Linked DNA regions of Xenopus tropicalis. The protein of the gene in region 2 interacts with the protein of the main gene of each other region in a pairwise test. Links are inferred from orthologs where the notes say so. Each region holds a gene or a part of one and is shown on either strand. Other genes may lie near its edges. The genes, in order: rras2 and rin1.

Evidence for each region.
Region 1: the proteins of rin1 (region 2) and rras2 interact in binary tests that used the Homo sapiens proteins (3 or more experiments, as listed by UniProt). The link is inferred for Xenopus tropicalis from reciprocal best matches to the Homo sapiens genes RIN1 and RRAS2.

The regions. Positions count from the first base shown.
Region 1 is NC_030680.2:3,481,753-3,485,567, reverse strand, and holds part of rras2 (ras-related protein R-Ras2), read right to left. Parts: coding exon 3,728-3,815; intron 3,610-3,727; coding exon 3,507-3,609; intron 575-3,506; coding exon 466-574; intron 379-465; coding exon 260-378; intron 1-259. UniProt on the Homo sapiens protein: GTP-binding protein with GTPase activity, involved in the regulation of MAPK signaling pathway and thereby controlling multiple cellular processes. Regulates craniofacial development.
Region 2 is NC_030680.2:38,274,452-38,278,266, reverse strand, and holds part of rin1 (ras and Rab interactor 1), read right to left. Parts: intron 3,461-3,815; coding exon 3,283-3,460; intron 2,839-3,282; coding exon 2,724-2,838; intron 1,604-2,723; coding exon 1,531-1,603; intron 108-1,530; coding exon 16-107; intron 1-15. UniProt on the Homo sapiens protein: Ras effector protein, which may serve as an inhibitory modulator of neuronal plasticity in aversive memory formation. Can affect Ras signaling at different levels. First, by competing with RAF1 protein for binding to activated Ras.

The DNA.
Region 1 (3,815 bases), about 35 Mb from region 2:
GCACCCCCTACCCATATGTATAAATACAAATATACAGAGAGGGAATGTTCTGGGCACACAATAAGCTGTACCCCCATACTGTACTGTCTAAGGGAAACACTATGGCACCCCCTACCCATATGTATAAATACAAATATACAGAGAAGGAATGTTCTGGGCACACAATAAGCTGTACCCCCATACTGTACTGTCTAAGGGGAACACTATGGCACCCCCTACCCATATGTATAACACACAGAGTAAAGATGGCGCCACTCACCTTACAACTCTAACAAGTTCATGAAATGCTTGGTCTACATTCATTCTGATTTTGGCCGAAGCCTCCATGTAGGTGACTTTCAGCTGCCGCGCCAACTGCTGCCCCTCCTCCCGCGTTACCTGGAACATCCCAAAAGATGAGTTTAATCACAGCCAACACCTCCTCTATCATTTACCCCCACTGCCCCCCCCGCCATAACTACTTACCTGCCTCTGGTGCTCCAAGTCAGCCTTGTTACCAACCAGAATCATGGGAAATTCATCCCGGTCCTTTACCCGCAGGATCTGTCTTTGGAATTTGTAGATTTCTTCAAAACTACAAAAAAAAAAATTAGAAACAGAATAAAAATTCCCTCCCCCTCTCACTCCTGCACCCTAGTATCCCCTCCCCTCTCACTCCTGCACCCTACTATCCCCTCCCCTCTCACTCCTGCACCCTAGTATCCCCTCCCCTCTCACTCCTGCACCCTACTATCCCCTCCCCTCTCACTCCTGCACCCTAGTATCCCCTCCCCTCTCACTCCTGCACCCTAGTATCCCCTCCCCTGTCACTCCTGCACCCTACCCCCCCCCCCTACTATCCCCTCCCCTCTCACTCCTGCACCCTAGTATCCCCTCCCCTCTCACTCCTGCACCCTAGTATCCCCTCCCCTCTCACTCCTGCACCCTAGTATCCCCTCCCTCTCACTCCTGCACCCTAGTATCCCCTCCCCTCTCACTCCTGCACCCTACTATCCCCTCCCCTCTCACTCCTGCACCCTAGTATCCCCTCCCCTCTCACTCCTGCACCCTAGTATCCCCTCCCCTCTCACTCCTGCACCCTACTATCCCCTCCCCTCTCACTCCTGCACCCTAGTATCCCCTCCCCTCTCACTCCTGCACCCTAGTATCCCCTCCCCTCTCACTCCTGCACCCTAGTATCCCCTCCCCTCTCACTCCTGCACCCTAGTATCCCCTCCCCTCTCACTCCTGCACCCTAGTATCCCCTCCCCTCTCACTCCTGCACCCTAGTATCCCCTCCCTCTCACTCCTGCACCCTAGTATCCCCTCCCCTCTCACTCCTGCACCCTAGTATCCCCTCCCTCTCACTCCTGCACCCTAGTATCCCCTCCCCTCTCACTCCTGCACCCTAGTATCCCCTCCCCTCTCACTCCTGCACCCCAGTATCCCCTCCCCTCTCACTCCTGCACCCCAGTATCCCCTCTCACTCCTGCACCCCAGTATCCCCTCCCCTCTCACTCCTGCACCCAGTATCCCCTCCCCTCTCACTCCTGCACCCTAGTATCCCCTCCCCTCTCACTCCTGCACCCTAGTATCCCCTCCCCTCTCACTCCTGCACCCTAGTATCCCCTCCCCTCTCACTCCTGCACCCTAGTATCCCCTCCCCTCTCACTCCTGCACCCTAGTATCCCCTCCCCTCTCACTCCTGCACCCTAGTATCCCCTCCCCTCTCACTCCTGCACCCTAGTATCCCCTCCCCTCTCACTCCTGCACCCCAGTATCCCCTCCCCTCTCACTCCTGCACCCCAGTATCCCCTCTCACTCCTGCACCCCAGTATCCCCTCCCCTCTCACTCCTGCACCCCAGTATCCCCTCCCCTCTCACTCCTGCACCCTAGTATCCCCTCCCCTCTCACTCCTGCACCCTAGTATCCCCTCCCCTCTCACTCCTGCACCCTACTATCCCCTCCCCTCTCACTCCTGCACCCTAGTATCCCCTCCCCTCTCACTCCTGCACCCTACTATCCCCTCCCCTCTCACTCCTGCACCCTACTATCCCCTCCCCTCTCACTCCTGCACCCTAGTATCCCCTCCCCTCTCACTCCTGCACCCTAGTATCCCCTCCCCTCTCACTCCTGCACCCTACTATCCCCTCCCCTCTCACTCCTGCACCCTACTATCCCCTCCCCTCTCACTCCTGCACCCTACTATCCCCTCCCCTCTCACTCCTGCACCCTAGTATCCCCTCCCCTCTCACTCCTGCACCCTACTATCCCCTCCCCTCTCACTCCTGCACCCTAGTATCCCCTCCCCTCTCACTCCTGCACCCTAGTATCCCCTCCCCTCTCACTCCTGCACCCTACTATCCCCTCCCCTCTCACTCCTGCACCCTACTATCCCCTCCCCTCTCACTCCTGCACCCTACTATCCCCTCCCCTCTCACTCCTGCACCCTACTATCCCCTCCCCTCTCACTCCTGCACCCTAGTATCCCCTCCCCTCTCACTCCTGCACCCTAGTATCCCCTCCCCTCTCACTCCTGCACCCTAGTATCCCCTCCCCTCTCACTCCTGCACCCTACTATCCCCTCCCCTCTCACTCCTGCACCTAGTATCCCCTCCCCTCTCACTCCTGCACCCTAGTATCCCCTCCCCTCTCACTCCTGCACCCTACTATCCCCTCCCCTCTCACTCCTGCACCCTACTATCCCCTCCCCTCTCACTCCTGCACCCTACTATCCCCTCCCCTCTCACTCCTGCACCCTACTATCCCCTCCCCTCTCACTCCTGCACCCTAGTATCCCCTCCCCTCTCACTCCTGCACCCTACTATCCCCTCCCCTCTCACTCCTGCACCCTAGTATCCCCTCCCCTCTCACTCCTGCACCCTAGTATCCCCTCCCCTCTCACTCCTGCACCCTACTATCCCCTCCCCTCTCACTCCTGCACCCTACTATCCCCTCCCCTCTCACTCCTGCACCCTACTATCCCCTCCCCTCTCACTCCTGCACCCTACTATCCCCTCCCCTCTCACTCCTGCACCCTAGTATCCCCTCCCCTCTCACTCCTGCACCCTAGTATCCCCTCCCCTCTCACTCCTGCACCCTACTATCCCCTCCCCTCTCACTCCTGCACCCTACTATCCCCTCCCCTCTCACTCCTGCACCCTACTATCCCCTCCCCTCTCACTCCTGCACCCTACTATCCCCTCCCCTCTCACTCCTGCACCCTAGTATCCCCTCCCCTCTCACTCCTGCACCCTACTATCCCCTCCCCTCTCACTCCTGCACCCTAGTATCCCCTCCCCTCTCACTCCTGCACCCTAGTATCCCCTCCCCTCTCACTCCTGCACCCTAGTATCCCCTCCCCTCTCACTCCTGCACCCTAGTATCCCCTTCCCATTTTATTCCTGCTCATACACTTCTGTATCCCAAGACCCACCATGGATGTGTAGGGATGTAGCACCCTCAGAACCTGTACAAGACCCAGGAAGCAGCAACTGAAAGAATAACGAGGTGCAATCTGTCTCACCTTCCCCTGTCTGTGACCGAAAATACCAGCAGGAACCCCTCTCCTGTCCTCATGTACTGCTCCCTCATTGCCCCGAACTCCTCCTGCCCCGCAGTGTCCAGAACTGGAAAAGAACAAAGGAGATGGTACATAAATATCCCAGCATCCTCTGCAAACCCATCCCTGCCCCTCTACTGGGGCTGCCACAGACAGTACAGCAGGGGGGCGTAGCTTATACTCACTATCCAATCGCGCTGCTCGGTCGTCTATGACACATTGCTTGGTGTAGGAATCTTCAATCGTTGGGTCATAATCCGTCACAAAATACGA
Region 2 (3,815 bases):
ATCCTTGTCACTTACCAAGGCCCAGGTGAGAAATGGCTTCTAATTGCTTTCTGGAAGGTACTTTTTCTATGGCTGCAGGAAGTCTGAGTGTATATGGCAGAACATCCCTGTCAGAATAAAGAAGCGAATGAGGTGCACATAGGAAATACAAAGATAGTAAAAAGAATTTAAAAAATATAAAGAAAAGAAATAGGATACAGGGTAAATAATGTACTTGAATTGTACAAAAGTTATATAGTTATATAGTAGCAAAGTTATATGGTAACAAAGAAAAGTAAAATGGAAGTGCTATGCAACAAAATCATTAGTATCCACACAAAATAGGTAAAGGCTACATCAAGACTCATTGAAAATGACTTGTGTTCTGGGCATCTGTAGAGAGGAGTGGCACATATCCTTCCCTTATTTATAAGCAAACACTCCAGACCCAGGCAGATAAGTTATTATTCAGCAGACTTGCTTAATCCAACATTTTTCTCATGGTAGCATGTTGGGCCAAAGCATGTATGCTGAATAAAAATTCATTTATCAACTTGGCATGCTGTCTAACATAGAATGCACCAAAAAGACTAGTGCCTTGGCAGACTTCACTAAAGTCTTAGCCATCATATAGTGGGCTTTGTATTTTATACTAGTCTACACTTTATAGTAAACACAGGATTTACATTGTGCATTTGCTATGGCAGCACACACACTTGCTATTGCTTTAACTTCTATAACCATTATTGGATCTTTAATTCTGACCCCCATGTGGGAGTTCTGTTGTGTATGTTAGCAATACCTGATTCAAATATTTAAGTTAGGTGTTTTTTCAATCTGACCTGTGTGTTCAGGACCAAAAAAAAAATCAAGTCGCTGACTAACAGGTTAGAGAGATGCAAAGGAAGAGTTATGTTCTGGCTATTACGTTAAAAATCTGCTCACTCCAACCTTTATAGATTACATTTTTGGCTAAATAACTATATTGAAAACATTTTTTATTTGCCTGGTTTTATTTTTACACTGAACTGTTTCTGTAAATCCCCAGTCTGAAAGTTTGAAAAACAATAATAGGAGTCTCTTATTATTCCAAGTGCAGTAAGTTTCCCACAAAAAAAAACATTTATTAAAGGTAGTCAGCCAACAAGTGCTCCTTGTGCTTCTGTATAGTTGTGCTTAGTGCTGTTGCCTTCCTCCTGCTTCCTGTTCTGAATTGCAGGCAGTTGCATGTATTGGTGTAGGAAAACCAAACCAGTTGGTAGCTTCAGGCTTCCCACAGCAGCCCGTGTCAATCTCCGCAGTCTAACAGACTCAAGGTGGCCATACACAGCCAATTTCAGCTGCTGATATCGGTCCTCTAGATATATATTATGATAGTCTAATAAAATGATTTATCAATGACTTATCAATGCGGACACTTGTCATTATAATGGGCTGGTGCACTCTTTGTTATACTAAACATTACTAAATACTGTTTATCCAAACAACATCGGTGATTGCTCCCCCTAATTATAAATGCAAGAAAACGAGAAACTCATTCCCCAGACTCACTTTTCACTGCTGTAGTGAGCTACAAGCCTTATCAGATCAGGGAAAGTGAGCTCTGACTCTTCCAGATAAATGCCTACAGAGATAGAAAACAATGCATTTAATTAGATACATCATCACAGGTCACGAAAATGCATAAGTAATGTTTATTTATGAGTCATGCTTTAAAGGTAGGTGTATTTTTCTCTGCAACATAACAAAGAGCCAGGATTAACATATAAGAAATATCCTTATAAATGGTGCTTAGTGATATTACCATTTATAGTCAATGCTTACGGATGTTTTGTGTCACATGGCTGATTATGAATTATAAAAATATTGTACCTATAGGATATTAGAAGTCAGCTCACAGTTCCATGACATGTATAAAAACAGGCCTTTATATGGAACTGGAACACCTTTTAGCTGGTGTATTATTTCCTGTATACCTGAAATATGCATGCCCAAGTCTATATGTGTGCTTGTTCATTTATACATGTGTAAGGTGTGTGGGTTTTATTATTAGTATTACTCCTCAATTGCAGGGGTCTCCAACCGTTTTTACAAGTAAGCCTTATTCAAATGTAAAAAAAAAATAATGGGAAGTGATAAAAACATGAAAAATATTCCTGTGGGTGCCAAATAAGGACTGTGATTTGCTATTTGGTAGCCCCTATGTGGACTTGCAACCTACAGGAGGCTCTGTTTGGCAGTACAACTGGTTCAAGCACCTGTTTGACACCACTGGGAGCAACATCCAATGGGGAGCAAGCGTGCCCCCCCCAGTCAGGGTCGGACTGGGGGGTGCAGGGCCCACCGGGGCTCCCGCAGGTGCCCCAGCCGCGTCCCCTAACCCCCCAAGGGGCCCCCCTAACCCCCCCACAGGGCCCCCACCTGACGTCCTCCCCGAGCGCATATAAATTGAACGCGTCAGTAGGGGGAGCGCCGGCAAAGGTCGGACTGGGCCTCCGGGGCCCACTAGGGCTGGGGCCCACCGGGATTTTTCCCGGTGTCCCGGCGGCCCAGTCCGACCCTGCCCCCAGTCACTGACTAACTAAGTTCTGGTCATATAAGACATCTGGTCACTTCATCCTTAATAGATTACATTTTTGCCTAACTAACTATATTAGAAATATTTTTTATTTTGCAATGTCTATCCATTTTACCCAGTTTCATTTTTACACTGAACTGTTGATTTAAGTGTTCCACATGCCTACCTGCAGGGCTTTTGTGTATATATGCCTGATGAATGAAGCTTGGACCAGAATCATCTGACAGTCTCACACATAAAACCATCTTCTGGCGAGTATTGGACTTTCTCACTAGGAATGTCTGTAAGATAAAGACATGTTTGATCATGAAGAAGATATCAAATTTTCAGTCAGGTTCTGTATATTATTCTCGGTACAAATATGTCTGAAGTACCTCTTTCTGTACGATTAACGAAATTATTATTGGTAGGGCCTGGATGCAGGACATGCGCAAGGTTCCAATAGGGCCTGAGGGGGTTTGGGCAGGGGTGCAATCCCTGGTAACTCAACCACTATTTTGTACTTAAATAGATTTCAACTTTGATTTTTACATGCCTGTTTATAGGACTGCTCATTGAGTGCTTGCTCTCACCCATACGGTTGTTTCTGCGCCCCTAGGTAGGGCTTAGGCGGTGCACCTGAGCCTCCCCTCGACTGTGGTGAGTTCGGGACTACTTTATTTATTCCTGGTATCTCAAATACCTTAAAGCAGCCCCTTTAACATCTATTTCTGTAAATTACCTACCCCTGGAGGCTCCCTTTGCAATATATGCAGTGCAGTTGCCGAGTTGACTGTGCGGTGGAGCCAAACACTTTGGGTGAGTAGCAGTCTGTCTGTGATGCTGACTGATGTTGGCGACCCCTTGCGGATTGGAGTTGGAGAGGATTCCTGATATGGGAAATCATATACCGGTTCAGTCATCCTGCAGGAACAGAAAGATCACAGTTTATAGATGTACTGTATATTGGGCCCTAGCAACCAGATAGCTGCTGAAATTCTAAACTTGAGAGCTACTAATTAAAAAAAGCGAAATAATCCAAAAACAAACTTGCAGCAATAAATAAATACATTAATAAACAATAAAAAATAAGACCAAGTGCAAATATCATTGTGTGTGAAAAGTGAATATAAAGGTGAACAACATCCAGTACCATTAAGTGCAATGCGTTTTAGCTTTTTTTGGTTATATGCTGCAGGCCTCCCTTGGGCAGCTTTTTCCTGGTACACATTCAACTTCCTTTTAAAATCCATTAGTCCAGGCCCTTCTTTATGCTTGT